Ovis aries: one gene and its partner. Each later gene encodes a partner of the first gene's protein in a complex. Links are inferred from orthologs where the notes say so. Each region holds a gene or a part of one and is shown in the gene's direction. Other genes may lie near its edges.

The links.
Region 2: LAMTOR4 (region 1) and LAMTOR3 share a complex: the UniProt entries of both Homo sapiens proteins name them as parts of the ragulator complex. The link is inferred for Ovis aries from reciprocal best matches to the Homo sapiens genes LAMTOR4 and LAMTOR3.

The regions. Positions count from the first base shown.
Region 1 is NC_056077.1:36,673,315-36,689,400, reverse strand, and holds LAMTOR4 (ragulator complex protein LAMTOR4), read left to right. Parts: upstream 1-5,662; 5' UTR 5,663-5,717; coding exon 5,718-5,720; intron 5,721-6,212; coding exon 6,213-6,293; intron 6,294-8,125; coding exon 8,126-8,428; 3' UTR 8,429-8,591; coding exon of another isoform or gene 8,592-8,689; 3' UTR 8,690-8,921; downstream 8,922-16,086. Other genes in the region: TRAPPC14 (trafficking protein particle complex subunit 14), read right to left, coding at 9,770-9,923, 10,036-10,229, 10,440-10,594, 11,112-11,275, 11,380-11,462, 11,609-11,756, 11,860-11,980, 12,136-12,222 and 3 more; GAL3ST4 (galactose-3-O-sulfotransferase 4), read right to left, coding at 14,162-15,184. UniProt on the Homo sapiens protein: As part of the Ragulator complex it is involved in amino acid sensing and activation of mTORC1, a signaling complex promoting cell growth in response to growth factors, energy levels, and amino acids.
Region 2 is NC_056059.1:25,113,240-25,129,283, forward strand, and holds the start of LAMTOR3 (ragulator complex protein LAMTOR3), read left to right. Parts: upstream 1-8,594; 5' UTR 8,595-8,686; intron 8,687-8,987; 5' UTR 8,988-9,024; coding exon 9,025-9,033; intron 9,034-11,939; coding exon 11,940-11,974; intron 11,975-14,218; coding exon 14,219-14,277; intron 14,278-15,743; coding exon 15,744-15,877; intron 15,878-16,044. UniProt on the Homo sapiens protein: As part of the Ragulator complex it is involved in amino acid sensing and activation of mTORC1, a signaling complex promoting cell growth in response to growth factors, energy levels, and amino acids.

The DNA.
Region 1 (16,086 bases):
CTAATGGGTTCTCTGTAGGGTGTAAAGAATGCAAAGTAACATACATGTTAATCAAAATAAAATTGACTCCAGGAGGGATCTAAGTGTCTGTTCCCACATGGCAACAAAACAGCAGGAAAAAGTGGAATGAAGAAACACTGGTTGGCACTGCACTCCCCCACCTGACATCAGTAGGGCAAGGTGTGGACCTGAACTTGCACCTTCATCTGAAGGCAACAAGGCCATGAGAACTGGTGCTCCACTTACACCAGGGTGGCACTGGCAGAGCCCAAAGGGATGACACATAGCATTTGTAATATACACAGTTTAATTTTTCAAAAATGTAAATACATATAAAAAAATAATATCCTGTGAGTGCTCACTGAGCTTCTTGACAGTGAGTTCCTTGAAGATGAGGACCTAGTGCACCTTTGAAATTCCGGGGTCTACCTCAATACCTAGCACATTGCTACCTACAAAACTTTTTTCCTATATGCCAAATTGTAATTTATTAATTGCCAAGGATAAATATGTTTCCAAGACTTACAAAGGTGTGTATAATTTGGGGCACCATTTTCTTGATTTTAAATAAGGCCATTCCTTTAGTTAGGGCTTGGAGAATTGAACAGTTTCCATTTAAGCATTCACCTCTAGATCCCCAGAATCTATGCTGAGTTGCAAATTAAATGATTTTTTTCCTACATTGTCCTGGCTTTTCTCCCAGGACTTCCTTCTAGTTTTTAGTTTTTATTTTGGCCTCTGGATCTCTAACTCTGCTCTTGCCCTTCTTTTGAAAAGGAGGGAACAAATCCTGACGTGTAAAATAACATATTTTCATCCATCCCAGAGGCAGAGCTGGCCTGCTCCTTCCTGTCTGAGTCCGTTGCCAAAAGATCACAATACCCCCCCACCCCTCAGCCTAGCAGAGCCTCCTGACTGGAAACCACGCATTCTTTTATTCACCCTTAACTCAACCCCTCCCAGTGCACACGGCTTGTCCCAGAGGACTGAAGGGGCTCATCTCTCAAGTGTTACTCTTACTACACTTCACGTGACTCCGCGCCTGCCTTGTTCACTTGCAAGCTGAGCACTCACAGCTCAGGGCTGTGTGTTTTCACCATTTTATTCCCAAAGCACATGATGCTTACCCTGTAGTCCTTGAAAAGTGCTGGTTGAACTGGTGTCATCAGGGTGAAGAGAACCGAGAAAGGCAGAGTTGATGGCTGTTTGATAGGGTAATAATTGGTTCTAGGAAAATAAGAGAAAAGGAGGTTGTGTGTGACAGGCAAGGAGGTCTAGTTTCAAAGCAAACGACGACTCCCCAAAATCAGAATCAAACAGAAAAAGAATGCAAAGGGAGGCAGCAAAGATGCCAAACCCACAGGAACCAGCCATAAGTTAACCACTGTGTTAGTCAGCGTTCTCAAGAGAATAAGGGGATGGGTTTGGTGGGAGAGAGCATATTTAATTTGAGGAATTAGCTCACAATATGTGGGGACTGGTAAGTCTTGAATCTGTAGGCTAGGCCAGCAGACTGGAAATTCAGGGAAGGGCTGATGTTGCAGTTTTGAGTCTGAAATCTGCTGGGCAACAGGCTGGAACTCAGCAGTGTTTCTGTACTCATGCAAATAGTTACTATGGTGCCTGGGCAGGGTGGGCAGTTTCAATCAGTGTGCTTCCCCTAATATTTCTATGTAATTAAATTCTTGATGAGAATTTCTTCTTCTCCAGAAACCTCAGTCTTTTCTCTTAAGACCTTCCGTGGATTGGATGAAGGCCATCCACATCATGGAAGCTAATGTGCTTTATTCAAAACTGAATATTTTTCCTACCTTAAAAGCACCTTCACAGTGTAGGGGAGGCATTTTTTTTTTAACCTCTACCCTCTTAGGGTTTTCAGCTGGGCCTGAGAATTAACTTGACAGAAGACAGATTAGCAGGAGAAAAGCATACAAATTTACTCAATACAAGTTTTATATGACATGGGAGCCCTCACAAGGAAATGAAGACCCAATGAAATGGACGAATCTACGTGCTTTTTATAGCAGGTAGAAGAAAAAGAGGCAACTGAGGAAAAGTGACTAAGCTGTGGGGAGCCTAAGGAAAGATAGAAATTATTTCAATAAGGTCTGTTTTAGAGAATTCTCTAGCTCTAAGTCCTGTAAATGGAACTCTGCTCTGCATAGCATTTCTCACTGGTCAATATACTTATTTTCTTATTTATTAATTTATTATCTGGGCTCACCCTCTGCCCCACGGCTCCTTGAAAACAATTTAAAAAAATGTCTTATTTGTATTCACTGCTATTATCTCTAGTTTCAAGAACAGTGTGTGGTACATAGAAGGCACTCAATAAACACTGGTTGAATGAAAGACTTTGCTCCCTTCATAAGTAGCATGTTTCAAGCTGTTTGTGAAAATGAAACAATTCTAGCAATGGCTGCTGAGCATTGTCCTGTGAAAGGTTCCTCTGTGTCAAGAACAATGAGAACCGGCAATTTCTGAGGTAAAATCAAGTGTAACTTCAAAAAAAAAAAAAGTTGGCCAGGGGAGCAATGGAAAAAGCATCAGCCTCAGCAACAGCAGACTTAGACTGGAATCTGGCTGTCATTTGCCAGCTGTGTGCTATGAGCAAGGCTCAATCTCTCTCAAGTTTCCACTTCCTCATCTATATAGTATCTTGGGATATTATTACAAAGATGGTTAATGAGGGTTTGGCCAGTGTATAGATGAAAATGCTTGGAACCAGTGTGTGCTGAGAAAAAAAAAAAAGATTCCACAAGGCCACGGAAGGTTTTGCAGACCAAGCATCTCCACAGAACTTTCTCTCTCTAAATCCCCTTCCAATTTAAATTTTATATTATAATCATACCTGATTTGTAAAAAGGCATCCATCTTCTCTAACTGGTTTTCTCCTCAAGCAACAGCACTTAATTTTATTGATATGATTCACATACTGTAAAATTCACCCTTTTAAACTGTACAATTCAGTGGTTTTCATTACATCCACAAGGTTGTGAAACCATCATAACTCTGTAATTCCAAGACATTTTCATCATCCAACACACCTGTTGGCAGTCACTCCCCATTTCCCCCTCTGCTCACCCCCCGGCAACCACTAATTTGCTTTCTGTCTCTATGAATTTGCCCAGTGTAGACATCTCACAGATACACCCAGATGATATGTGGCCTGGATTGTCTGAGTTCCTTCACTTCAGGTCAGTTCAGTTCAGTCGCTCAGTTGTGTCCGACTCTTTGCGACCCCATGAGTTGCAGCACGCGAGGCCTCCCTGTCCATCACCAACTCCCGGAGTTCACTCAGACTCAAGTCTATCGAGTCAGTGATGCCATCCAGCCATCTCATTCTCTGTCATCCCCTTCTCCTCCTGCCCCCAGTCCCTCCAGGCATCAGAGTCTTTTCCAATGAGTCAACTCTTCTCATGAGGTGTCCAAAGTACTGGAGTTTCAGCTTCAGCATCATTCCTTCCAAAGAAATCCCAGGGCTGATCTCGTTCAGATTGGACTGGTTGGATCTCCTTGCAGTCCAAGGGACTCTCAAGAGTCTTCTCCAACACCACAGTTCAAACGCATCAATTCTTCGGCGCTCAGCCTTCTTCACAGTCCAACTCTCACACCCATACATGACCACTGGAAAAACCATAGCCTTGACTAGACAGACCTTTGTTGGCAAAGTAATGTCTCTGCTTTTGAATATGCTATCTAGGTTGGTCATAGCTTTTCTTCCAAGGAGTAAGCATCTTTTAATTTCATGGCTGCAGTCACCATCTGCAGTGATTTTGGAGCCCCCCAAAATAAAGTCTGACACTGTTTCCACTGTTTCCCCATCTACTTGCCATGAAGTGATGCGACCAGATGCCATGATCTTTGTTTTCTGAATGTTGAGCTTTAAGCCAACTTTTTCATGCCATGATCTTCGTTTTCTCAATGTTGAGCTTTAAGCCAACTTTTTCACTCTCCACTTTCACTTTCATCAAGAGGCTTTTTAGTTCCTCTTCACTTTCTGCCATAAGGGTGGTGTCATCTGCATATCTGAGGTTATTGATATTTCTCCTGGCAATCTTGATTGCAGCTTGTGCTTCTTCCAGCCCAGCGTGTCTCATGACGTACCCTGCATAGAAGTTAAATAAGCAGGGTGACAATATACAGCCTTGACGTACTCCTTTTCCTATTTGGAATCAGTCTGTTGTTCCATGTCCAGTTCTAACTGTTGATTCCTGACCTGCATATAGGTTTCTTAAGAGGCAGGTCGGGTGGTCTGGTATTCCCATCTTTTCAGAATTTTCCACAGTTCATTGTGATCCACACAGTCAGCGGCTTTGGCATAGTCAATAAAGCAGAAACAGATGTTTTTCTGGAACTCTCTTGCTTTTTCGATGATCCAGTGGATGTTGGTAATTTGATCTCTGGTTCACTTAGCATGTTTTCAAGGTTTATCTGTGTGATAGCATAGATCAGTACTTCACTCCTTTTTACAACTGGACAATGTTCCATTGTATGGATATGCCGCATTGCTTTATCTGGTCTTCAGTTTATGAATATTTGGGTTGCTTTCCATTTGGGGGCGATTATGAGTGATGCTGCCATAACATCTGTGTACAAGTTTTTGTGTAAACATAGTTTTCAGTTCTCTTAGGTATGTATGAAGGAGTGGAATTTTTAGGTCCTATTTAACTTTCATTTATAAATATAGTAACTCTATTTAACTTTCAGAGGAACCACCAATCTGTTTCCCACTACAACTGCACTATTTTACATCCCTACCAGCAATGTATGAGAGCCCCAATGTCTCCAAATCCTCATCAAGCTTTTTTATTAGTTTATCATCATTTTGCCTCACATTAATATTGCAGCAGGTCTAAAAACTACTTAAATTAAAACAAAAAATTTCTAAATGACACTCATATATTTAAAAAATTACCCCAAGGTCATTTTCTAATTATTCCTGGCAGAGAATATTCAGTATTGCAGCTGCCTTGGCTGCTGCTGCTGCTGCTAAGTCGCTTCAGTCCTGTCCGACTCTGCGACCCATAGACGGCAGCCCACCAGGCTTCCCCGTCCCTGGGATTCTCCAGGCAAGAAGACTGGAGTAGGTTGCCATTTCCTTCTCCAATGCATGAAAGTGAAAAGTGAGAGTGAAGTCGCTCAGTCGTGTCCGACCGTTAGCGCCCCATGGACTAGGGAGGTATAATGCTCTATCACACAGTTTCTTACAGAATCCCGGGACGAAAAATCGCTTTGGAACAAATTCCTGTCAGAGAGCTGCCTGAAGTAGGCACAAGAGTAGCATCTGAATAGCTCTCTATCTACGTCTTTTGGCTCGCTCAGGATTCCACTTGCGAGCCACCTAGCCTTGTTGGAGTCTGCCCCCGCCGCCCCCGTGTGCGCAGGCGCAAACTCTCAGCCCGGCCTCCCTCCGGCCCCGCCTCCAGACCCGCCCCCCGCCGACACGCCCCCCTCCTTCGCGCTCTGGGGCTAAGGGGAAGGGAGATGAATGTTCAAGAGGATGTGCGGCCAATGCGCGAGCGTCTCGGAAGCGGCGCTCCGCACTGGCAGAGTAAGTCTGATGACGTAGCCACTCTCCAATCGGCATCCTGGGGGCGGGACTAAAGTCGGGCAGGGCAGGGCCGGAGGAGGAGACCGCTGGGTGGAAGCACGTGACCGCGGTCTGGAGCCGGAACTAGGTCTGGCTACAAGCTCCCCCAGCACCTAGAGCTGCGATGGTAAGTGAGGACGCATGCGCGGAGTTACGCGCCGCGCCGGCGGTTCCTTACCCCTGTCCCCCAATCTCTTTGGTTGCGGGGTCCTGAGCGTGCCCTCCGGCCTCACCTCCTATTCTCCCTGGGACTGGAAGGAAATGGAGAAGGGAGGGGTGGTGACGTAGAAGGCCAAGGAGAAGTCGCTGGGAGGGTGTGTAGAAGCTGGGGACTAGTCTGAGGGGGAGGCGCAGGCCACAGGTGCGTTTGGGGAGGGGGCCCTTGGGGTAGCAAAGGTGACGTGTGGAAAGCTGGTGGCGCCCGGGCGGAGGAGAGGACTGACGGAGGCTCAGGAGCATCAGTGTTGAAGGCCGTGTAGAGGGAAGAGGGTCTGGAAGGGCCCTGGCTGGGTAAAGAGGCCTGGAGCGGGGGCAGGGGGCACTGTCAAGAGAGGCACTCTGGTTGCCCAAGGGCCATCCTTTCGGCCTACTGCTCACTAATTGCATCTTTACCCACCAGACTTCGGCACTGACTCAGGGGCTGGAGCGAATCCCCGACCAGCTTGGCTACCTGGTGCTGAGTGAAGGCGCGGTGCTGGCGGTGCGTTCTGGAAACGGGAGGGGGGGTGCTCCAAGTACACATGACTCTAGGATGCCTTCTAATGTTGCCCTGTTTGGCCCGATTGGTCTCTGTTCTTGTCTTTCCCTGGTATCACGCCTGGCGTGTAGGAATTAAATCAATTAATCAATCTCTGGACTCTCAGTCTTGTAACTATCCTGAGGTAAAAGAGGTTTACTGACTTTACCAAAGTCAAGCAAGTTACAGGTTTGTTGATAACTGACAATCCCCAAGTTACTCTTGAGTATGTCTTTATTTGGTATTTATTGAAGAGGCTTGGTATTTTGTTCTGTAGTACAATACAGTGTCAGCTCTAGAAGTTTTCAATCTAGCTAGAGACAAGGCTTAAGGCTAAAAGTTCAAAGTAGTGCATGTGGTTAACGCAGCTGAAGGAGTCCAGAAAGTGAAGGATTCAGCCCTTCATACTATAACTTGTGTTTTGGCAAGGAACCTTCCTTGGACGAGGTAAGAATTCATCTGGGCTTAAAAGATGGATGGATGACAGGAAAGAAAGAATATTCAGAGTTGGGAGGTGGACATTTTGCAGGAGTGTAACACCAGCCTATCTGAATTGGTGATGGGGTTATGTTGAAAAGATTTGGAAACATTTGGGGGAAGAAGAGGATATGGTGAGGAAAGGTCCGATTGTGAAGGACTTTCAAGGCTAGGTTAACACATTTGGATTAATCTTGAAGGGTTTTTGAACAGAAACAAGCTGATGAAGTGATTGAGTAGCATTGTTCTGTTAGGCGTAAAGGTAAGACAGAAGGGGCAGGATTCAAAAGCGGGGATGCTGTTGCCAAAATGTAGGTATGAAACCTCTGGTTGCAATGAGAAGCAAGGAGAGAAGGGGTTTTTAAAGGAAGAATTGGTTTGTCTTTGTAATGACTAGAGTTCAGTAATAAAGGGGATACTTTTCTATCCTGTAAGACTTTGACCTCAAGCCTAGAATGATGGTGCCTTAACCAGCAGGGACTTAAGAAAGGAAGTTGACTGGAGAGGGGGAGAGATAGGGGGGATTTTGATAGTGCAGCTTTAAACACTAAGTTTGATATAGAATAATAGGGTAAACTCCAGGAGTTAGTGATGGACAGGGAGGCCTGGCATGCTGCGGTCCATGGGGTTGCAAAGAGTTAGACACAACTGAGCAACTGAACTGAACTGAATAGCCGTTAAATAGATAATGCCAGGAGCTAATCTGAGCATCTTGCCCCAGTACTCTTGTGACACTCACAAGCACGTAAGATAGGTACTGATGTCCCCAGTTTACAGATGAGGAAACAGGTATAGAATCCAGCAGGAGGGCCACCTTGAGGAGGTAAGAAGTTGAGATCATTACCAGAAAAGAGGAAGCCCAGGCCACTGTGACGTCATTATTCAAGGGCCAGGTAGTCCGAAGGGGTTCAGAGAGAAAAGGGATGTTTATGTTTCAGGTTCTGCAGACAGGGTGACAAATGAGAAATGGGAAAAGATGGAGCCTGGGACTCTAGCTGTGGTGGGTGGGCACTAATCTGTAAGAATGTGATTTTTTTCAAATAAGTGGAGACAGGGAGAGAAATGAAGATTCAGGGATTGGGGAAACAGGGTCAGTAATGGACAGAAATGGATGAGAGTTCCTACTTCCTCAGGGAAGCCCAGTATTTTGGAACAAGATGGCATCAAGAGGGGCAACAATATCATAGGAAAGTTTTAAGTTTTTCCAATACTAGGGGTGATGTTGCAGTGTTGGAAAGTGGAGACAGGTTACACAGAAGGGTTCTTGGAGTTGCTTCCCAGTCTGTCCCTGATTCCTGCCCCCCTCCCTCTGTGTGCAGTCATCCGGGGATCTGGAGAATGACGAGCAGGCTGCCAGCGCCATCTCTGAGCTCGTCAGCACGGCCTGCGGTTTCCGGCTGCACCAAGGCATGAGCGTACCCTTCAAGCGTCTGTCGGGTGAGCCCCGGCCTCTGGTAGTGGGGAAGGGGGGTGGGGTGCTGCTCCCCAAGGCCACTCTTCTCAGGGAAAGACACCTGTCTCCTACCAGCTGCCCACCATCTCCTCTGGAATCCTTGTCTTCCCTGTGGTATTTACCCCTGTATCAGAACTATGAGAAAAGCAAGAGAAGGGAGGGGATTTAATGGAGACCTCCCATCTTCTAATCTCTGAGCTTTGACCTGTTGAATTCCTTTGGCTTTGGATCCTAGCCAGTTTGTGTGCGACCCCCACTGAGGCCCCCATAACCCACTAACTCTCTGCTCCCTTCCCTCTCCCGGGCTGGGGGAAGGTGCGTCTCCCCTCCAGTGGTCTTTGGAGAACACACGCTGCTTGTGACCGTGTCGGGACAGAGGGTGTTTGTGGTGAAGAGGCAGAACCGAGGCCGGGAGCCCATTGACGTATGAGCCTGCCCGAGGGCGAGGGGCAGAGGAGGAACCTCTGTGCTGAGAAAGATGGGAACCTCCACGGCCTCTCTCTTGGTGCCACTAGAACTAAAGCTGTCTGCTCACCGGCTTCCCCACCCTGACCTGGAAGGGCAGAGGCTCGGGGACTTTGTACTCTGTTAAGGACAGTGAAGGTGAGGGGACCTCCCTTCTTTTCACCCTGCCTAATAAACATAAGTGTGATGTTCCTGGACCTGGGGATGTGTTGTGTGTATTGGGGGAGGAGAGTCATACCCCATGTGTCTTTCAGCTTCCGGGCCCTCAGCCCAGAGGCGTGGGGTGGACAGATAAAACTGGAAATCAGAAGAAAAAAAACAAGTGGGAAGGGAGCTATTTGGTGTACAGGCTGGAGGGAATCTTTCTGAGCCCTTAGGTCTCTGCCGCTGCCACCAACACACAAGTAACAGTCTTTTTCTCCCTCCTGAACAGGCATTTAATAGTCTTATTTCAGTTGGAAGCAGTAGTTGGAGAATAAGTTACAGGGACAGACAGACCAAAAAAAAAAACAAAACCCAAATCAAAAATCCCACACAACTTAAAGTGCTTCAGGCTGCAGACGTAAACATGAGGACGAGGGGAGGCCACCTAGCTCTCTCCCCTGACCTGAGACAGGAGGGTCGTGTCATTGTTGGGTCCCTTTACCATCACCACCCTCTGATCTCAGCCCTGCGGGTGGGAGGGAGGGAGGGAATGTCAGAGGCGGGGAAGACAACGTAAGAGGAACAAGGAAAACACTTTGTAAACTTAGAACCAGGGTGCAAGGCGGGGGGCAGGGGAGCTCCTGGAGCCACTGCCCTGGCCAAGGGGTGGGGCCAGCCCCCCCAGGAAGTCCAGGAAATACTGTCGGCTTCACACTGCAGCCATCCCCGGCCATTTCACAGCTTCTTCCCTCGTCCCTCATCAGTAGACACAGACAGGCGGCTCTGTGGGGGGCCCCCTCACCCTTGGTGGGAGGCTCCCCGGGGAGGCACAGCCTGCAGGGAGCACCCGCGCTGGGGGCTGTCCATTTCCCGGAGTGTGAGAGGGAGGCGGCCGGATGGTTTACTTGACCGGCTCCACCACCAGGACCTTGCACTCGCGTTTGGCGATCTTGTCCAGAGAGAGCACAGCCTTGTCCGGGGGCAGGTAGAGGGGGCGGCCGACAGGGGAGGCCACAGGGGGAGTGATGGCCCGGCGCTCCATCACACTGCCCGACCTGGAGGAAAGTGGAGGCTGTGGGCTCTGGCCGGACCCCAGGGTCCCGTCCTCTCCCTTCCCGATCCTGGCCTCTACCAAGCCCTCGGGGTCCTCCCCATGCAGTTCCATACCTCATGAGGTGGCTGCGGGAGGGCTGTTGGTGGGAGAAGGACTGAGAGCGGCCGAGGCTGGCCTGGTGCCTCTCCACCAAGTCCCGGACGGCAGGGCTGCTGGGGCTGCTCTTGCGCGAGAGGGGTCGGGCCTCGGGTGGCGGGTGGGACACGCTGGCAGTGAACTGCAGCTTCAGCTTCATGTGCTGGCTCAGCTGGGGTGGGGAGACACAGATCACCGGCCAGCTCGGCTGCCAGGCCCCCGACCCCCTTTCAGGTCATCTTCCCCACGTGACAGGCCGAAGTCAGATCTAAAGCCCACCTTCCCTCCACCCGGCTTTGTAGCACCCACCCATTTATGCTTCAGCATAGAAGCCAGCGGCCCTGACCCCTCCCACCCCGATGCTAGGCCTCACCCAGCCCACCTCGAAGAGCCCAGTCCGCAGAGCCTGGAAGGCCACGCTGAAGGTGAGCGCGCTGCCCTTCCGGGAGAAGCCGAGGTTGTTGAGGGGTGTGTGGCAGACGATGGAGTCCAGGGCTGCCTGCATGGCCCGGCGCTCCTCCTCACACAGCTGCTTTCCTGAGGGGCAGAAACAGGGCCGGGAAACAGCTCTGTGCAGCCTTTCTCAGTCTGCAGAGGGCTTTCATGAGCACAGTCTTGCCTGATGCTCGGAGCCACTCTGTGGAGTAAACTGAGTATATGCTATTGTTTGCTAAACTTTATAAACAACAGTAATAGTTACTGTGTACTGAGATCTATTCTAACCACTTCACACATATTAACTTACTAAATTGCTATAACACCGCCATGAAGTAGTATTTCCTCCATTTTAGAAATGAGAAATCTGAGGTCAGAGAGGTTAAGTAACCTACTAAAGGTCACATAGCTAAGAAATGGGAGATATTCAAGTCAAACAGGGAACCCAGCATCAGTGTCAGTGCCCTTAAAATCTCTGCCCATGGCCTCTCTAAACTCTCCGTTATGACACTGTGGAGACCATCCAGGTACACAGCTGACGCAGCCTGGCACAAGTCACCTGCCTCCATGACATCTTCCTTTGCCCTCTCCTCCTTGGGCAAGCCTGGCAGCTACCTACCAGCCTGGGCGTGCTCCGGGGTCCACACGAGCCTTACAGCAAGGAAGTCTTGGAGATTGTTGAGCAGCGTATAGGTAACAGTGAAACGCTCATAGGTCCGAACAGGGGACTCACAAGAAGCAGTCATCACAAAGCACGGGCGGTCCAGGCGGATGCTGGGCAGGCTAGAAGCCGTGAGAGAGAGGAAAGCAGGATGTGTGTGTTTCGAAACAGAGATGAACAGGATGGTGTCCAGCAGGGAGCTTGGGGGGGTGTCCCACAAACTCACCGGTAGTGGGTATAGATGCTCTGCGTGAAGGGCAACTTCGGTGTGGACCACTGAACCACAGCAATCAGGGGAACCTCTAGGCCCTGTTGGAGGGACAAGCAGAAACATCACCTGTATGTGATGACCTGAAGGAGAGGTTCCCTCTCCCGTTAGTCAACTCCCTGGCCTCTCTCTTCCCATTGCATTTTCTCAGCCTTTCTCCTTAAACACACCAGTCCCTTGTACTCACCTCCTTGGCCCCTGGAGGGGGCTGCTCACCCGCTCTGAGCTGAAACAGGAAGTTATGTTCCTCCAGGGCACTAAGTGGGCAGGGGAAGCAGCCAGAGGTACCAGGGAGCCGGCAGAAGGAGCCCATGGAGACTTCCCCAGATTGGTGACTAGTTGAGAAGAAAGGGACCAGAGCTGAACTTTCCCTGCCAGAGCCCTGGGCCCTGCGACCATGCCCAGCACTCTGCGGCCCCGCCCCTCCCAGGACCTCACCAGACATTGTCCACCAGCAGCACAGAGCCGTCGGGCATGACAGGTAGATAACTGGCATTGAAGTTTGGGAGAATGCGGATATCCCAGACAGAAATTTCCTCCTGGGAGGAGCTGTTCAGCACTGTGGGAGGTAACCAGCTCAGCTAAGAGAATCTGAACTCCTCAGACCACACCAATTCCCCCCCCCTAAAATGGATCTATCCCCACCATATTGTCCAGGGCCACCCAGCCAGTGCCCTTGCTGCCACCCAAGACAGGAGCCTCTAGTCTGCTCACCCTTGAGCACCGTCAAGTGTTTTCCAGCCACAGTGAACTGGCGGCACTTCAGAACCGGAGGGGGCAGCAGAGTCAGCAGGGTGCTCACTGCAGGAGAGGGCGGAGGCTCCAGATGACGGACTGGGCACACCTCACCTCCAACCCACGGGTCCAGTCTTCCTCTCCTCGGATCGGGCACTTGCTGGTGTCACCCCCTCCACCGTCCCCACAAAATTCAGACACTAGCAGGTCCTGTCTGCATTCTCCTCCCCACCTTGGGCCTTGAAAGCGCTCTGCTCGCCCCTGAAGGTCTCCCCAGGAGATCGAGTCTGCAGCAAGCGCAGGTAGCCTTGATCTCTGACCTCTGGTGCCTCAACCTCCCGCTTCCACACGGTTACTACAATCTAAGCACAGGGGACACGGGACCACAGTCAAGAGAAACAGCCTCAGAAAGGGCGTCTCAATTAAGACAGAGCTCCACCCCGTGCCAGCCTTACCTTGGCTTTAGGTGTCCCTGGGGGCAGTCTATCCAGTGAAACGGTGAGTGGGAAGATGACCTCATCTGTGGACACAATTGGTTCCTCCACAGGCAGCTGGGTTGCCAGAGGGGTTGAAGAGGTCAGGAGAGTCAAGGCCGCCCGCCGCGCCCGCGTCCCCTTTAAGACCTACGGTACGTCGTTCTCGCCCTCCCCTCTCCTCATCCGTCATAGGCCTCCAGCTTCCCGCTAGCGTCCCTCTCCCCTCCGATCTTGGGAGCCCAGCAAACCGCCCCTCCGCCCTGTGTCGTGGCGCTCTGGGCTCCTCACCGTGGTCGCTCCCCCTGAGGTAGCAGGGCCCGGGCCGTGGGTGAGGAGGGGGCTGCAGCCTCGAAACAACCCCCCACCGCCAGGGTCCCCGCCCCCCGGGGGTTCGGGATCCTGGTCGCCCGAGCCACCGCCCCCGGGCGCCCCGCCTCCGGCGCTGACCGAGGCCAGGGCGGCCAGGGCGGTCGCCAGTTCCGCCCAGGCCCCTCGGGAGCCCAAGCCTGGGCCGCCCCCGACGCCGGACCCCGCACCGCCCCGGCAGCGCAGCACCAGCAGGAAGCGAACCGTCTCCCCTAGGTAGAGGTGGTTGCGCCGGGGCAGCGCCCGGTACCGGCCCGGGTCCCCCGCCAGCTCCGCGCGCGGCGGCAGCGGCACGGCCGGGAAGTACATCGAGTAGTCGCACTGGGACTCCATGGGCGGCGCGGGCCGGGGGGCGAGGTGGGCCGGGGACGGCGCAGGGCGGAGGGGCCGCTAGGGTGGTTCCGGGAGCCCCAAGTCCCGACTGGTGCTGCGCGCGGCCGGCCCGGCCCGACAGACCAGCTGGGGCCAGGAACCGGGGCAACAAACCCGGAACCGAGACCCCACGGGGCCGGAACCGGGGTGCGGGACCGAATGACTGGTGAGAAACCGGAAGCGGAAGGGAAGGGGCGTGGCTTCGGAGGCGCCGGAATTTGTAGGTGGCTGGACTTTGGAGGAGAGAGGGGGGTGCGGCAGGGGTTAGGCTGCTGCAGAAGGCTAGGGTTCTTGGACTACGGAAAGAACCCCCGACAACCCCGTTTCTCCCAGGAAGATGCTCCATCCCCTTCCCTTGCCGCTCTAGAGCAGGTCGAAGTTTCAAATTGTTTATTCATTGAACTTTTCATTCATAGTGAAATGAGCATAGCCCAGTAACAAGTGTTTCATAGAGAGGTGGACGTATTATTCCGATCCCTTGTGTCCCAGGGTTTCTCTGTCGTACTCCATGGTTAGCTCCTCCAGAAGGCCTTCGAAAGTGCGGCTTGAACCTTCAGGGATGGGGGTGGGAAAGGGGAAGGGGCAAAAATGGGAGGGAGCCTGCTTCTCGGTCTGGGATTCCTTGGCACGGGCTGGAGGATGTAGGACCCATATTCTTGCAAAGTTCCACTGGTCCTCTGGGGAGCAGACATGCTTTCTGAGGGAAGCCGAAAGGGCATCTGGCTTCCTCACACTCATCACTGGCGCCCTATGGCTTAGCTGCTCTTCAGCCTAAGACAGTGGTTTGATGCCTAGGGGGAGGGTCGCCTTGAAGTCTTGAGGGGCAGAGAGACTGTTGGGGGGAACTGCTTGGCATCTAGCTTATCCTTGTACTGCAGCTCGGGGGTAGCCAGGCGCTCACACTCCTCCTGGTCTTGGAGGCTCAGCCCACTGCGGAGCACATAACCCAAAACCTTACCTGACCCAAACTGGAAAGGGCGGAATCGCCGGTCAGTGATGTACTTGGGGTCTAAAGCCTCACCCCCCACCAGACAGTGTTTAGCCAGGGCCTCTCGGCGAGCCCGGAGCTCTGCCACAGCACTGTCCAGCCGGCTCTGGCCATACTGCTTTATCCGGGCCCACAGACTTCGGTTGAAGTGAACATAGAGAGCCCAGTCCAGGTTGTTCCAGGATCGTGCCCGGGCAGTCAGCTGCCTGTCCTCAGTGGTCAGTCCACCATCGTCAGTGGTGCTTCCGCCCTGCCCACCTCCAGCCTGGGCGTTGTGCATAAAGCCCACCACATCATCTAGACCCCAGCACAGCGCATCTGCCAGCAGGACCAGTGACTCATCAAAGTACTCGGCCACCAAGACCAGGTCAAAGACAGAGTCCAGCCAGGCCAGATTCCACTGGATGAAGGATGAAGACCCCAAATCTAAAGAGGCAGGGCTGGACATCTGGCTGTGACCATCAGCAACAGTGGGAACAGGATGGAAGAGAGCATTGGGATCCAGGGTGTGGGCTGGAGGGCCAGCGCCAGAAGGCAACTGGGGAGGGTTGGGGTCTCTGGAGACACGCGAATTCCCTCTCTTGGTCCTCATCTCTGGGGGGAAGGGGAGGCCAAAGTCAAACCATAGCAAGTTGCGTGCATAGTGGTCCCCCCGGGCCCCGGGTCTGTAGAAGGCTCGAGGATTGGCCAAGAAGGCAGCCAAGGATGGTGCTTTGCGGAAGGCTGATGATGTGGATTTATAGTAGGAGAAGGCAGAACGGGCCAGAGCCGCTGGGTCTCGGACAATGGAAAAGAAGAAGCTGTCAGAAGGCATGACCTGAAGTACCTGGGGAGGAGAGGAAATGGGCATAGAGAGAGTGAACTAGGGAGGAGGAAACTAAGAGCAAACCCAGTGTCCACTGACCCCCCCGGCCTCTTCCAGCCTCCTCCTGACAGCTCTGCTGGGAACTCCCAGCTTCCTTCATTAGCTGCACAGATCTTGGTAAGGTACTTGACATCTCCGAGACTCCATTTACGTATCTGCAAAATGGGGACCATCATACCTTCCTTCCCAGGTGTTTATGGAGGTTACATGAGATAAGGATAGGAAGGAACCCAGAATATGGGGAGCTCCTGGAGAACATTAATTTCCTCAGGCCTTTCTGTTTGCTTTGGTTGGTAACACTTCTAGGAATCACGCCTTGTGTTCACTTCTCCAACAAAAACCTATAACATGTCCACCCTGGGATTCTTGGTCACACCTCCAAGAAAGGAACTGGCTTCAGGCCTCCTCAGGAGGATCACTGGCAGCAAGTAGATAGCAACCATAATTCTATCTCAGGTACAAGCGTCAGGTGGGCAGGCCCAGCCCAGAATGGCTGAAGGTCAGGGCACTTGTGAGGCTCCTTGGCGTCTTGGAAAGCAAGAGACACCCCTGAAATGGGCACTGGGGAGCCATGGCCAATCAATAAGGAGCTGTTCTGAGTCTTGGGACGTAAGATCCCACTTCTTGGCAAGAAGGAAGGTGGGCATTGGGCTGAGCCACACCCTAGTGTGGTCCAGCAGGCAGATCCACACCAGAATCCAGGTCTGGGACTCCCTGAAGGATTTCTGCCTCTGAATGTGGCTGTGGTCATTGATCGTGACTCCCTGACAAGTCCTCCAGTCTGTTCTATGGATGTGGGCATGTCTGAAGGACAAGCCTGTGAACTGTGTCTTTGAAGGCGTAGGGGAAGAGTGCAGAGAACA
Region 2 (16,044 bases), on another chromosome or scaffold:
GGCTTTTGGACAGTATTATATTTCAGTTGCATTACATTAAATTTCATAAAATGTGTTTGATAAAATGTTCAAATGACTTTGGTAAAGCACTGATCGAGTGCCTGACAATTTAAGCTACATGAAAGTATGCAAGTAAAGAGTAAGTCCTTAATGTCACCTATGTCATGATATAAAGGCCTGTCCAAGTAAGTGTCTTAGAATTTTGGGTTAATTCTACAAAGTAAAGTGACCTAATCTATGTTTGTTTGTTTCTGTAATCAAAGTATCTTGAAATGTGAGATTCTCACTTTTTCTGCTCTTCTAACAAAAATCCCAATGTTTTGCCATCGTATTTTTAGCTACCTGAGCTCTCCAATTAAATATGATAACTTGTCCTCTTCATTTTAATCACTGCCTAATGCTTTCAGTCTTTGAATATTGCTTTACTAGCTTCTCTGACTGGTATTTTAGAAGTTTGGAAGCAATTACGTTTATTAATGCTTTACATTTTTATCCCTTTTAAACACACACACAGACATCAGTGTTCTTGCAGGAATTTGGGAGAAGGTAAATAGTATCTTTTCTCCTCCTCTTTTGATTTTTTTGTTTCCCAATAGGTGTTAGTCCTTTGTAAGTTTTGGAATTTATTGTGAGCAAATCTGAGAATTTAATTCTCAACAATGAGAAATGATAAGTGAAACTATGTTTTGGGAACAGACTGCATTTGAATGCTTAAATAAGTATTTGTTTCATAATCATTCCATTCTTATTTATGATCTACAAAGATTTGGTAGAGAAAAGTAAATCCTTAAGGTACATGTGTGCCAGTGCATTAGGCCTCTCTGCTTGTATGTCACTTCAGGTTTTATTGTTAAGAACAGGAAGATAGAATTCCAGCCCTTTATTTTAATTGCACTTTAATGTTTAAGTGTTCTTCCTGTTGCATCTTTAGTTACACTAGCATGTAAAATAGATACTGAGAGAAATGATTAACCTCTTGACTTCCCTTTGTTGGTCTGTAATATTTTTAAATGCAGGTGTTATTTAACAGATGTGACATGTTAATATTACTTAATAATTCATTCAACAGATTTCATTTAAAAACTCCCACCTGTGTAAAGGCAGTGAAATATTCCATAATGTTGGCCTGAGGACCAATAAGCTGTCTTTTTAGTTAAGTAAGAAGTATGTCAAAAGACCAAAAGATTCAAAAGGAGAATTTGTGCACTTACTTAGCTTCTCCATATGAAGCTTGTGTTCAGTATTACTATACTGTTGTCTGTCTTCATACTGAGTAGCCAGCTGAAAGGGCATTTATAATCTATTTTTTAAACAGAAAACCTTCTGAAAATGAATAATAGATATTAATTTTAATCTGTATTAGATAGCTGAACGACTGTCTCTTGGCCACATTGGACTACTGCTTAAAGTTTGTAAAATTCTCTATATAGTCTCATAACGACAGTTTCTGTTTTGTTTTCTTTTTAAAGAACAAGTGCATAGAATGAGCATCTTTAAGAACTCCTGTACATCCCTTTAATCATCTGGCAGGCAATACAGTTGTCAAATTCAGGCTTCCTTTCTGGTTTTATTACTATTAAATTGATAGTTTCATGTAAATGGAAACATTTTCCCTCAAAACACTAGTTCAGAACATATTCCTTATATTAAGGATTATGTAACCACATCTTTTGTAAATTCCTTGTGTGTAACTTTCCTGTTGGTATGTAATTTCTTTTCATTTAATTTTATTATCTGCTGGTTTTGGGGCCAATAGATTTGTGAATATTCTGTGGATGTGTCCATGTATAGGTGTATATATATAGATAAATATATATATATATAAATATATTTTCCAGCTAATACCTCAAATGTGTGATTGTTTAATATATACCACACTATATGTGCACAGTGCAGGGCTTCCACTAGCAGTGGATTTTCTTATTTCTAACTTTGAAAATCAGTCCATAGAATTTCATTGGTGTGGGTTCTTTTTTGTTGATCTTTTCCATATTTTAACAGAGATTCCTACTATAAAGCCCATACTTCAAATATAATTGTATTTTCTATAGCAGTCTGGAAATATGTAAAGGGTAAGAAGTGTTTTTTGCAATGTTTTAGTAAGTTTCCATTAAAAATTGGGATTATTTATTGCCAAACTGGTAATGCATAACAGATGACATCTGGCATGAATGTGAATGTCTCATTCACTTTAGTATAGGAGTTTGGACATTCTAATCTGATATCCTACTTTGCCATTTAATAGTACCACTAAAATAATAGATTTTTCAGTGACATTGGAGTATTTTAAGCATCAATTTTAAAATGAATTGTTTTGGACTCTGGGTGGATGACAGTTATCAGTGAAAAGAAAGAAACTCACACATAAATGGCATTTTTGTAATTTATTTGTATTAAGAAATGCTTCTTACCTTTTTTGTTTTTCTCAGTTTTTGGATTGCTACATAAGAATTTTCTTTCCATATAAAGTTTAGATCATGTGTTTTTTTAAAAGCTGCAGGTAATTTTCAAGGTGTGATGGAATTTTAATGGAAGCCTTGTATAAGTTAAATGAAGTGAAATTGGTAAAGATCTTCTTTGTCTATAGTGCATTCAAAATTATAGTTAGATTTAAAAATGAAATGTCTGATTTGTAAAATATTTAATGTTGTATCAGACTTACATAAAATGAAATTTTCTGTGTGAGAACTCTGTTAAAGAAAATACACTTGATTTTTAATGAATGTTCTGAATGATTTATGATGAATTTTTGTCTTTCAGTCTTTGCAGTTTATCTCAATATATGAATAAAAAGAAGGTCTGTTCTCACTGTAAAGGATTTGTTCTTATCATGTTTTATATTCTTACTATGACTTTTCTTTCATTCATTCAACCAGTCAACAAACGTATGAATATTTGCTATGACCCAGGACGTAATGTGGGAATTAATCACTGAACAAGACCAAAATCCTCATGAAGTTTACATCTAGCAAGGGAAATAAATGTCAAGTAAATAACTACGCATGATAAATGCTACAAAGAAAATTTCAAGGTACAATGAAAGCATGTATCTAGAAGACTTTACTCTGGGAGATTAGGGAAGTTTTCTCTGAGAAAGTGAGTTTAAGCTGAAACCCATAAGATGAGATAAGTCAGAGTGAGGTGAATGCTGGATAAGTATTTCAGGCAGAGTGTGCTGAGTCGATAAGGTCATAGAAACTTTACAGAAGTGAAAACAAACTTGTAAGATTATGACCTAGGGAGCGAGACCAAGTTAGAGAATTAAGGGCCAAATCCCATGAGGCTCTGTGTGTGTGTGTGTGTGTGTGTGTGTGTGTGTGTGTGTGTGTGTGTGTGTGTTCAAAGAAAACCTTTGAGACTTTTAATGAAGGGGTTAATATGATGAGATTTGTGTTTTTGAAATAACATTTTAGTTGCTGTGCAGAGAAGACTGGAGGGTAAAAGTGAATGTAGGAATGATAGGAAGTATTGTCAGGGAGAGATGATGATGGCTTGCACCAGAGTAGAAATATATATATAGTGATTGATTTTGAGATAGGAGGTAGAATCAAGAGAATTATTTGATTGATTAGATTTGGGATAGAGGCAGCAATTTAAAAACTTTGTAAAAATCTGGCTGTGAACAGAAGTAGAGAAAAAGGGTGGTAGCTGGAAGAAGATGTGGTTTCTAAGAAGGCTTTTATTTTTTCAATTACTATTTATTACATGAAGACTTACTATTACATGAGAAACCTTACTAATTCTTTGTACTCTGATGGAAAGGGGCAAGTACAGAGTGAAAGAATAAAGATAGAGAAAAAGAAGGATAATAGCATTAAGTACCTGATACTCCAGAGGATGTTGGAGCCATTGCAAAGATGGAATAATTATTTTAGCTATGTGACACCACCAGCATTCTTTCAGAAAGGAATATACAGAAGATGAGTACAAAAGCAGATTTGTAGCATTAGTGGCTCGATGTTATGGCTTGTATTTTCTTAATGCAATAAGCAATTTATGTAAAATTGGGGAATGGAAAGGATGATAAGCAGACACTTAGAATGAAGACAGTTTGAAGAAATCATTCTCAGTCAGCTGACTAGTGAAAAGGATGATTTCTGTGGCTACCAAACTAGTGACAGAATTTACAGTCTGTTAAATGTTGTATATTTTTTCCAGCTTAACTCAGCAGCCTTGGCATAAATGTGGAGAATACACTTATTTAGTTCATCTAAATTTGAGGTTATGTCAGGCAGGAAAGATGGCAGGGGTGTCTAAGATGTTGACAAGTGAGTAATTGCACTATTAGATGTAAGCCAGAGATCAAGGGAATTAGTGATTTCTGAAGTGACTGATGTGTGACAACAATGGGTGATAGTACAGTAGAGAAAGTTATTGTATAGATCTTAGATTGTATTTTCCACAGACTAAATTCTAAACCACAGGCAGAAGCAAAATTTATAAGACATTTTACAACTCGGCCAGTGTAAGTTATAAAATTTTTATTTTTGTATATTAGAGAATCAGCAAGCCTCTCCTTCCCGTTTGAGTTTGCATACCAGCTAGAATTTTTACACAGCCAGTGGAACCAACCTAAATTCAGATGATTGTTTATTTTTTGATAGGAAACCAGAATTTTTTTAAAAATTGAGAATTAAAGAAAAAAAATTTTTAAGCTGTATTCAACAGCTGAGAGAAATTTAAGCTAAAGAGCAGCAGAAACAAAGGCTCTGATATAACAGTCAGAGCATGTGTTTGTTAACTATTTCCTGTACTATTATGCAAAATAGCAAATTTGTATAATGAGGTAAAAATTTTATGTGCAGAGGCATGCATACAATGTCTGTTTCTTTCTGAACCTCAGCAATCATCTGTTACATCCCACTTTGGAAAACTGGCATATCCTGCTGATAATCTTTTAGGTCAGTAAATATTTCCCCTAGTCCTGGACCAACAGCAGTGTTATTGATGGGTAAATGCATGGGTAAATGCAAACAGATCAGTCTGAGTACATAAGGAGCTCTACTGACATGCCATAATTTAGAAACCACCATGCTTGGAAATTAAAAATCTTACTAGATTTTTCAATTTGCAGACGTTAGTGGTGGTATTTGGTATCTGAAGATCTTGGAAAGCTGTGCTTTCCCTTTTTGTCACTCAAGAGGAAGAAAAAAATCAGCAATGTTTTCCAGGTCAACTAGTATGTAATAATGTCATTAAGATGGATAATTTTGTTAAAATGAAAACTAATGCTTCCAGAAATTAGAAGTCTTGATAGAGTTCATATTTTTATTTGACTCCAAACTTAGGGGCAAACGGAGGGGAGAAACAGTGGGGAAATGAAAAATGAGTTTTAGTCAGGGTCAAGACTAATGACTTCTCGTAATCACTTTCATTCTACAAATGTTGAATGCGTACCTACAGAGTGCAAGAAACAAGCATTGTAAGAAACTGAAAAAAAAAAATTGAAACCATGACCCCTCCTAGACTTTATGGTCTCATTGGATAAGCAAATTAAAGCTATAACACATAATTATGTACAAATAAATATCATTTCTTCTTGGTAATATATAGGAACATTCAAGAGAATGTGATGGATGAGGTGTTATAAGGTAACAAGATTTAAATAGCTAAGGTAGAAAATGAAAGGGTTTAGAACATGCCACCCTGAAATATGCCACAGCAAATGCATGAAAGGCTCTCTGACCTCCCATCTTCACTTAAAGGCTTGTCGTAAAACTTCCCATGAGAAATGCGCCCTCCTTCTACCAGGAAGAGAAGAACATTCTTAGCACCAGAGATGGGACTGACACTGAAATGGACCTGTATAAACAAACCTACTAAAATAACCCTTATCTTCCATTAGTTTATTCCATATGTTTAATAGTCACCGTCATACAATTTACTGCTGTTAACCTAAGCCCCTTGTTTTGTCTCATCCTCACAGTTTATTGTTCTTTGTGTAAAATGGCATATAAATTTTCGGGCCTAATGAAGTTTTGGATCTTCATTTTTCTTCTGAAGACTCTCATGTACATGTAAAAATAGTAAATGAATTTGTATGTTTTGATCCTGTCAATCTGTCTGTCAATTTCATTGTTGGCCCCAGCCACAGAATCTAATCAGGTGTAAGGAAGTTTTTCCTCTCCTACAGGAGAAATAAACATTTCAGATTCAGGAACCCCCACAACTACCTGAGATAATAAGAGTCATTTTGATGGAAGGGTGATATAATCAATTTGGCTGAAAAATAGGATTCACATTAGATTGCATTTACAAGTAAAATGAAATGATTAAAGACTATGTCAAGCATTGTCTGCAATGGTGTGTCACTAAAGATTTCTTTGGTCAGAAATAATATACATTGTTTTAGAAAGGTTTAACTGGGCTTCCTTAAGTGGCTACTGATATAGTCTTGCTGAATACAGTAAGGGTTGAATGAAGAGCTGAAAAAAATATAGATGTAAAAAATCGTTGTTGAGAAAAGGACATGAGAAAGGAGAAGCAAACATGATACCTGACAGAATCATGGAACCAACAAGGACATAGATCAGGAAACAGGTTTACTGGAGTTTTTTAGTACCTTTGGGTTAGAACTGACAGAGGTATGTAGAAATATCCAATATCCAACAAGCAGCTGAAAATATGAACCTTGAGCTCAGAGGAAAGGTGCAGGTTTAGGAATCACATTCTCAGGATACTGTGGAAAGAAAAACAGCAGAAGACTCGAAGACAAACTTTAACAGTGAGGAGGCTGAGTGAGGAACTAAAATAAGTGCAGTGTTCTAGAGGCTAAGAAATCAAAGGAAAAGGAAGTGGTCTTCAATGTCAGTTGCTATGGAACTGTCAAGTTCTCTTATAATGACAAGGAGATCATTTGTAACATCTAGGTGCTTTGTAACTTACCATTTCAACCTCCTAAGGGTAACTAGCAAATTAGTATCTTTCCACCACACCTTGGTCTATAGCTGGTTCCTTTTGCACTTCTATTTTCAGGGATCCCTTGGATTTCAAGGAGCTCAAACCAGTCAATCCATCAACCCTGAATTTTCATTGGAAGGGTTGACACTGATGCTGAAGCTCCAATAAATACTTTGGCCACCTGATGTGAAGGTGACTTATTAGAAAAGACTTGATGCTGGGGAAGACTGAAGGCAGGAGGAGAAGGGGATGACACAGGATGCGATGGTTGGATGGCACCACTGACTCAATGGACAGGAGTTTGAGCAAGTTCTGGGAATTGGTGGACAGGGAAGCCTGGCGTGCTGAAGTCAATGGGGTCACAAAGACTGGGACAGGACTAAGCAACTGAACTGAACTTGATGATCTGTGGAAAAGAAGTTCCCCTAGACCTCATTTTCCTACCAATGTGCAATGTGCAATGTGCAAACAAGCAATGCACCAAATAAAAAATTATAGACAGTTCTTAAAAGTACGGTCTTCTTCACACGTGTACCCCAATGTTCATCGCAGCACTGTTTATAATAGCCAGGACATGGAAGCAACCTAGATGTCCATCAGCAGATGAAGGATAAGAAAGCTGTGGTACATATACACAATGGAATATTACTCAGCCATTAAAAAGAATACATTTGAATCAGTTCTAATGAGGTGGATGAAACTGGAATCGATTATAGAGTGTAGTAAGCCAGAAAGAAAAACACCAATACGGTATATGAACACATATATATGGAATTTAGAAAGATGGTAATGATAATCCTGTATGTGAGACAGCAGAAGAGACACAGATATATAGAACAGTCTTTCGGACTCTGTGGGAGAGGGAGAGGGTGGGATGATTTGGGAGAATGGCATTGAAACATGTATAATATCATATAAGAAACGAATCGCCAGTCTAGGTTCGATGCAGGATACAGGATGCTTGGGGCTGGTGCGCTGGGATGACCCAGAGGTATAGTAGCGGTGGGGGGGGCGGTCAGGATTGGTAATAGGGGTACACCCGTGGCGGATTCATGTTGATGTATGGCAAAACCAATACAATATTATAAAGCAATTAGCCTTCAATTAAAATAAATTTAAATTTTTTAAAAAAGTATGGTCTTCTGAATAAAGAGCCAATGAAAGAAGGTTGCTCCATGTCTGCATATGTAAAAGCTTGATGTACGCACAGAGGAGATCTCCAGAAAGCTCAAGGATCCTTGATTCAATCCAGACAAGTCACAGTACGAGGGTAGCTCCCACGGGAAGCCAAAAGATTAATAAATTACGATCAGAGACCGACGGACCTGGGGCTTGCTGTTCAGTATGTAACACCACCCCCTTTAAATGTATTCATCTACAAGAAGAGGTTTTAAGATAACGGACCACAAGAAAAAAATAATGAAATTTATGCACCCGCCTCAAACAAATACGTTTTCTTGCTTGCGTTTTCTGGGAATCTTCAGGGTTCCGGGATCTCAAAGCAAAGCAATCTCTATTCAAGTGCAGAGGTCTGGGACAGCCTGAACTCCTCACAGATGCAAAAGGAACCCGCGGTGAGTGGACCGGGGCTTATCGCGCAAATGCGCGCTCCCTTGTCGAAGTACCGCCCCGGAAATCCCTAGTCACCTAGCGACGGTGTCTTGAGAAGTGCTTCCGGGAGCACAGAAGAGGTCACAAATCATGTGACTGCGGCTTTTAGAGGAACCTGTCCCAGAAGTTGTCCCTGAAGTGGCAGTTCAGAGAAACAGGCAACCCAGAAACCCAGGTAACTGCAGCCACTTTGCCCGGTGGCATAGGCCGCAAGTGGCACGGGTGGTGAGACGGAAGAGAAGATGCCGCTTTCGCCTCCCGTTTGGGCTTGGATTTTGGGGGTTAGTGGGCTGTCAGGCATCTCGGTTACCCGGCTGAGTATTTGGGAATTCCGACTCCAATCAGCCTCCTTGGCTGGAGCCCTGGAGCCGTGGATCCTTGCCTGACCCAGCGGAGAGCTGACACTGCTTATTAGGTTGGGGGTGGGGAGGGAGAGGAAGTCTTGAGGGGAGAGTCACCCGGAGTTTCTCTTTCAGGCGTGGAGATTGATCCTGCGGGAGAAAGGGGTTCATCATGGCGGATGTGAGTTAACACCCCCATATAAGAGGAAGGAGAGAGTGGAGAGTAGGTTGAGACTACTGGGTGGGGAGAGAGCGCTTCCCAAATACAAATTTGTTTCGTTTTACCGCTTCCCTCCAATTACTTTGTCTAGGATCTGAAGTCAGAGACTAATAGGAGTAATTTTCGGGGCCCTGAGTTTCTGCCTGGAATGGGGGTGGAAGACACTTAAAGGTGCCTGAGGTTGAGACAATTTTATTTTTCCTACGCCCCAGTTCTGCGGGCATAAGACAGATTCTGCATATTTACCATTTCAGTTTCTAAATGATGATTTGCTGCTCTGAATCCTTTTCCAGTTAAGTCTCTTTGGGTTCACTGTAGCAATTTCAGATGATTTATAACCATTGCCTTTTTAACACAGCAATACAATTAAAATTCTAAATTTAGGAAACTTTATTGTACTAGTTTCTGGAAACAACAGGGAATTAATATTATTAATGTTTATATTTGTTTATATTTTACATACTGTTATATTTTTACATACTGTTATTTTGTTTATATTGGAGAAGGAAATGGCAACCCACTCCAGTACTCTTGCCTGGAAAATTCCATGGATGGGGGAGCCTGGTAGGCTACAGTCCATGGGGTCACAAAGAGTCAGACACGACTGAGCGACTTCACTTTCTTTCTATAATTCCTTTTGGAGAAGGAAATGGCAACCCATTCCAGTGTTCTTGCCCGGAAAATCCCATGGACAGAGGGACCTGATGGGCTGCAGTCTGTGGGGTTGCAAAGAGTCCGACACCACTAAGCAACTAACACACACATTTTGTTTATATATACACTAAATATTCTTTGGAACATTGAACAGATACTCATTTAATTATTGCAATAACTTTCATGAGATATGCACTGTTAATCACTGTGTTTATAGATGAAGATGCTAAGTCACAGAAAGATCTAGTAACTTCCTCAGATTACACAGCTAGTTTGTTGCTGAGTCAGGATACCAACCCATGCAGACTCCAGAATCCATGTTCTTAACTACACTAAATGATTATTCAACAGTATGAATCTGATTTTTCTTTTAGGTTGCAGGATTATGTGTTTCAACATTTAGCAACTTTTTATGTCTTTATCACTCCATTTTTGGGTGTCTTCCAGTATATTTTTGAGGCCTTATTCTCCAGGCTTAATCAAATCACTGAATTCTTTTGAGCATCTCCCTTGAAAAGATTGTTCTAATAAGGGCTGTGGGAGAAATAAAGATAACTAAGGTATAATTTCTCTCCTTAAGGATTTTTAAAGGTTAAAAAAAAAGTACAATAGGCAAGTGATCATAGCTATGCATACATTATTGTGTGAAAATTCAGAGAAGAGAGGGATTACATCAGTTTGTCTTTATCAGGGAAGCCTGTTTGGAGTATTTGGTGGTTGAGATTAGCTCTAATTGATGAGTAGCATTTTTTTTTAAAAGTAAGATCTAGAGGGTATTACTATTAATAGTTAGAATGAAAGCATGAGCAAAGTTAAAGATAGGAAACAGAAAGATGTGTGTTGCAGAGCTGTGAATAGCCCATTTCATCTGGAGCTGAGGAAGTGTATGAGCGAGTGGTAGGAAGCAGGACTATAAAATGTGTTGTAGCCCATCCATATTGTAGAGAGCCTCAGATATCTCCAGGATCCGTCCACAATTCGGTAAACAGTGGAGAGCCATTCAAACATTGGTTCTTGATCTTGGCTGCATGGGGAATGCTCTGGGGAGCATTTCCAATACAGACGTCAAAGTTCTTTTTATACTCTGCAAGTGTTGTCCATAGCCAGGGTTGAGAGTCACTGCAATTGTCCATTTAGAGAAGGAGAATTATATGATTATTGGCTTTGTGTAGACATGTGTGAGATAGAAGTGATAGACCATCACACCAATTGGGAGGCTGGTGTAAGTCATAAATATTAAAATGAACCTAAATTGTAATGTCATCCGAAAAGGAGAGGAGAACATCAGTTTAAAAATACTTGACTTCACAAGTGGTTTTTAAAGTGACACATGGGAGTTTAGGGTTATTATATTACCTTAAGTTTCAAAGCTAAGTAACAGGGAACAGTAGTGCCATTAGTGGACACAGGAAGAGATTGAGGAAATCTAGATTTTGGATGAAAAATGATGGGTTTTGTGATTTCGTGTTTAAGATGAGAGCAAAGGTAAGCTGGTGGTGATAGCATGAACTAAAATGAACATTCAGGTTTGGAGAGTAGTAGGAATTAGAGGGTCAAAAGAACATGTATCTGATTTACCTATGTAGAACTCATGATTGCTACCTGGACTGTCAGTGAAATTCCCCAGATGAGAGAGTATAATGAGACAAAGTAGTCTTATAATTTTTTTAGTCATAATTATGTTCCATGCTAAATGCTTGACACACTTTGTCATGTGTCTTTAGTCATGTAAGAAAACTGAGTTTCACGAGGTTACTCAACTTACCTCGGATCTTAAAGTGACGTTAAGAAGTCTGTGGATGTGGAAAAATATTCATAATATATTCTGAAATGAATGCAAAGTTAGCAACAAGATGTACAGTAGTGTGAGAAGTATGATCTAATGCTATAGCTAATATGTATTTGTGTTTCCACTGCTGGATATGCTAATCACTTGACATGAGTGTTTTCAATAAACTTTAGTAACAGTCTTATAATGTAGGTTCTTTAATTATGCTTACTCAGCAAATAATGCAACTGAGGCTTAGAAGCAAAGATTAGTTGTTGCAAGTTACACCACTCCTTAAAGCATCAAAAGCAAAACGAGAAAGACAAAACACAAGCACGAATGGTTGTGAATGAATACTTAAGGTACCTGAGATGTGGATAGGACAGTGTCTAGAGAACCAGTACCAGGCATATTATTATAATAAAATGTGTATACTCTCTTTCAGGATCTAAAACGATTCCTGTATAAAAAATTACCGAGGTAAAAATTACTAATTTGTTATTAGATAAATTCTGCTTAACGTGTTTTGTTTAGTATTTTGTTTCTGTTTATCTTAGACTAATACTATGTTCTGCTGTTATTTAGCACTTTCAAATGGCTAACATAATCTTAGGTAGCACAAGTGATACGGTTTGAGTTTGCAGATAAACAACATGATCCCTAGAGAAGTTACATGACTTGTCTCAAATTAAACAGCTGGTGAATGGTGAAGAGCTAGAACCCAGTTTCTTGCCACTTTAGAGTTCTTTCATAGCAGTTTGCTAGATTAAAAAACCTAGGAACTTGCCTTTATCTTTCATACTGCTTTTAAGACTTAATTGCTGCGCCTACATGGGGGTACACAGTATAGTGATTGACAATTTTTTGCAGTGCAGGAGACTCAGGTTCAATCCCTGGGTCAGAAAGATCCTTTGGAGAAGGAAATGCCTACCACTTCACGGCTACAGCCCATGGAGTCACAGAGAGTTGAATACAACTTTGCGACTAACACTGCCACGTTTTGAGTAGGCAATATATTTATAAAGTTCAAGATGCAAAAGTTAATTGAAGGACACAGAGTGAGGAGTTTCTTAACCCTGTCATCCAGCCACACGATTCCTGTCTCAGAGACACCCACTGTTAACTGTCAGAGATACTCTATGCACCTGCCCATTAAGTTAATAGTGATACTTCTCATTCCTAAGCTAAAATATTAAGCTAATACTTCTCTTTCCTAAGCTAATAACAACCATCCATTTATTTGGGGATATAGTAGGAACAACAAACATTGCATTTTGCAGATATTTTAAGATACAGGCATTCCTCAGAGAGATTGTGGGTTTGGTTCCAGACCACTGCAGTAAAGTGAATATTGAGATAAAGCGAGTCACAATTTTTTCTGTTTCCTATTGCATATAAACGTTATGTTTACACTCTACTGTAGTTTGTTAAGTGTGTAATAACATGATGTCTAAAAAAACAGTGTACATCGTTAGGTAAAAAATACCTTATTGCTAGAAAGTGCTAACCATCATCTGAGCCTTTAATGAGTCTTAATGTTATTGCTGGTGGAGGATCTTGCCTCAGTATTGATGGCTGCTGACCAGTCTGGGAAGTGGTTGCTAAAGATTGGGGTGACTGTGGCAGTGTCGCCTGCATTAGCAGGCAGATTCTTTACCACTGCACCATGTGGAAGCCCAGTATAAATGATGATGATTTGAGTGTTTCCCCATTATAATTTTTAACATTTCGGGGCTCTAGGAATTCTCACTAATAATTTCATATTTAAATTGCAGGGACAAATTATGTTATTTTCAGTGTGTACAGATGACAACATTGGTATTAATTCATATTTTTGAATTTTAATTGTCTACCAGCCACCTTCCACTTTGCATGCATCATTGTATTAAATTTAACAGTAGCCAAAGGCTCAGCAGTAAAGAATCTGCCTGCAATGCAGGAGACCCTGGGTCGGGAAGATCCCCTGGAGGAGGGCATGGGAACCCAGTCCAGTATTCTTGCCTGGAGAATCCCATGGACGGAGGAGCCTGGCGGGCTACAATCCATGGGATCACAGAGAGTTGAACACGACTGAAATGACTTACACACACAAATGAGTACAAGTATCCCCATTTTCATATTAACTGAGGCTTAGCGAGGTTTTGTAATTGATGCAAGGTAGCATAAACAGTAAACACCAGAGCCTGAACGGGAACTCAGGTCTTTCTTACTTCAGAGCTGTGGTCTTGACCATTCTGTTTCCTTCTTGTGTAAGCGTGGTTCAGAGGATTGCCCTGTGACCTCCATTCTTTCTGTCCTGTTCTCTCAGCTTACAGTGATCTCCCCACTCCACTTTTCTTATTACCATAACGTCTCAGCTGAGGTACCACTTCCTCCGGGAAGCCCTCCCTGACCCATCTATCTGAATCTACCCCTCCTTTTATAAGCTCTCTCGTAGCCCCACACATCTCTTAATGGCAGTTCTCACAGTTGTAGTGTTAGATTTGTGTGAGGTAATCTGAACGATAGCCACTCTCCTTTTAGATTGCAAGTTGTGGGAAGGCAGCAACTGGGTCTCTTTTTTGCTTCTTATGGTGGAAGAGTTTTGCAAACATGTTATAGGAGCTTATATCCGTGATTGAGTTCTCATGGTTTTTCAGAAATCTATATGAGAATTATCATTATGATTTTGAAGGTACATATTTTGAGACAGTGTTTTATAATACATCAACTTTTCCTTTCTAGTGTTGAGGGGCTCCATGCTATTGTTGTGTCAGATAGAGATGGAGTGCCTGTCATCAAAGGTAAAACGCCACAATTACATGTCAGTGCCATGTTTGCTTTTGAATACAAATGTGTTTATATTTGGGTAATAGAGAAAGCAAGCAAAAAATAACCCATTTCAGTACATTCAGGTTGTGTGTTGAAGGATAGGTTGGAATCTAATTATATCTCAACTATTTCATGATAGGATGCAGAGTTTAAGTAAGGATTTATTGAAGGCCCAGTTTCCCATTAAAGACATTTTATGTATAATGTAAACAACTAGTAAATCTGAATCATGAGAATGAGCATATATGCAGCGAGACATATTATACCCACGGACTCCCCCAGCATATATTTTTCATCAGTATTGCTGGTGGTTTTAGGATAAACAGCCATACATTTGAATTAACATAAATTTATTGTTTTGTTTACTCTTTCTTATTCTTCCTTATTGGAAATAAGATTTTGAAAAACTTTTAACTTCACAGTTACTTTAGTTAACCAGAATCTAGCAAAAATTTTTGCTTGAAGAAAAGTTGGTTAACCTAAAAAAAAGGAAGAAAAGGTTTCTTTTTGCCTAAGGGTTTAACTCTTTTTTTTTTTTTTAAGTATATGTGATATGACAGAAAGGCTAAATAATGTTCTGCATATTTTGTTTACAATATATTCTCCACCTGAGGTTATCATATATGTCAGATAATTTCAGACTTTAGAATTCAATCAAAGTTTAGAAGTTAGCTAATATAGTTCTTTCATTTTATTAATGAAAATGGTCAAGTGCAAAGAGTAGATTGTCAGCTCCAAGTTGCTCATGAGTCAGTGACAAGATGGTCATAGAACCCATCATCTTCTGATATGTGATCCAGTATGCTTCCTAACCCAGCACAGAACATAGGTAGCCATGGGCAAATCACTTCCTTTTCTCAGTTCCATAACGAGGACTTTGAACAAAATAATCTCAGATTTTCCAGCTCCAGTGTTCTTTTTGAGGATCTCTGTTAAAACCTTAAGCTCAGCACTTACGGTACAACCAACTCCACATAGACCTTTCAGTGAGTATAAAAAACTTAAATCAGTGGCCAGGTGTAGAATTATCATCATCTACAAATGATGCTTCTGTGGGTTTTGTAAGAGCAAAGGTTAAAAGCTTTTTTCCAATATTCTCACTTAGCTCATAGTTAACCAGAATATTCAACTTATTAATTGTACTGATAATCATAACCTGTTTTAAGTTAGATATTAAGAAGATAGAGATGGTTAGTATTCATTTGAAATTTTTTGAAAAATTGTGAGAACCAGTATTTTTTCCCTTAGTTGTGATTGAATGGTTTTTCTCACCTAAACTGATGAGACCCAATTAGTATTATGAACTTCAGCATTGTGAAGCGTAACTCTTGTGCTTTTTTTTTCTACAAGTTTATGTGTTTTTTTTTTTTTAAATACTCTAAATGTCTTCTCGCTGTATATCCTACATAATTTTTACTTAAATCACTTGTATTTCCAGTGGCCAATGATAATGCTCCAGAGCATGCTTTGAGACCTGGTTTCTTATCAACTTTTGCCCTTGCGACAGACCAAGGGAGCAAACTCGGACTTTCAAAAAATAAAAGTATCATCTGTTACTATAACACCTACCAGGTAAGTTCATAATTATCAAATGGTTTGCTGATGATTTCAACTATTATTCTCTCTTCTTTGTAGAATAGTTTGTTTTAATAATTCTAAATTTTGGTTTCCAAAGTGATGGAATTTTAACATCTTCACCTTCAAATTGGTTATGTTAAACTGTAGTGATTTTTTTTCAC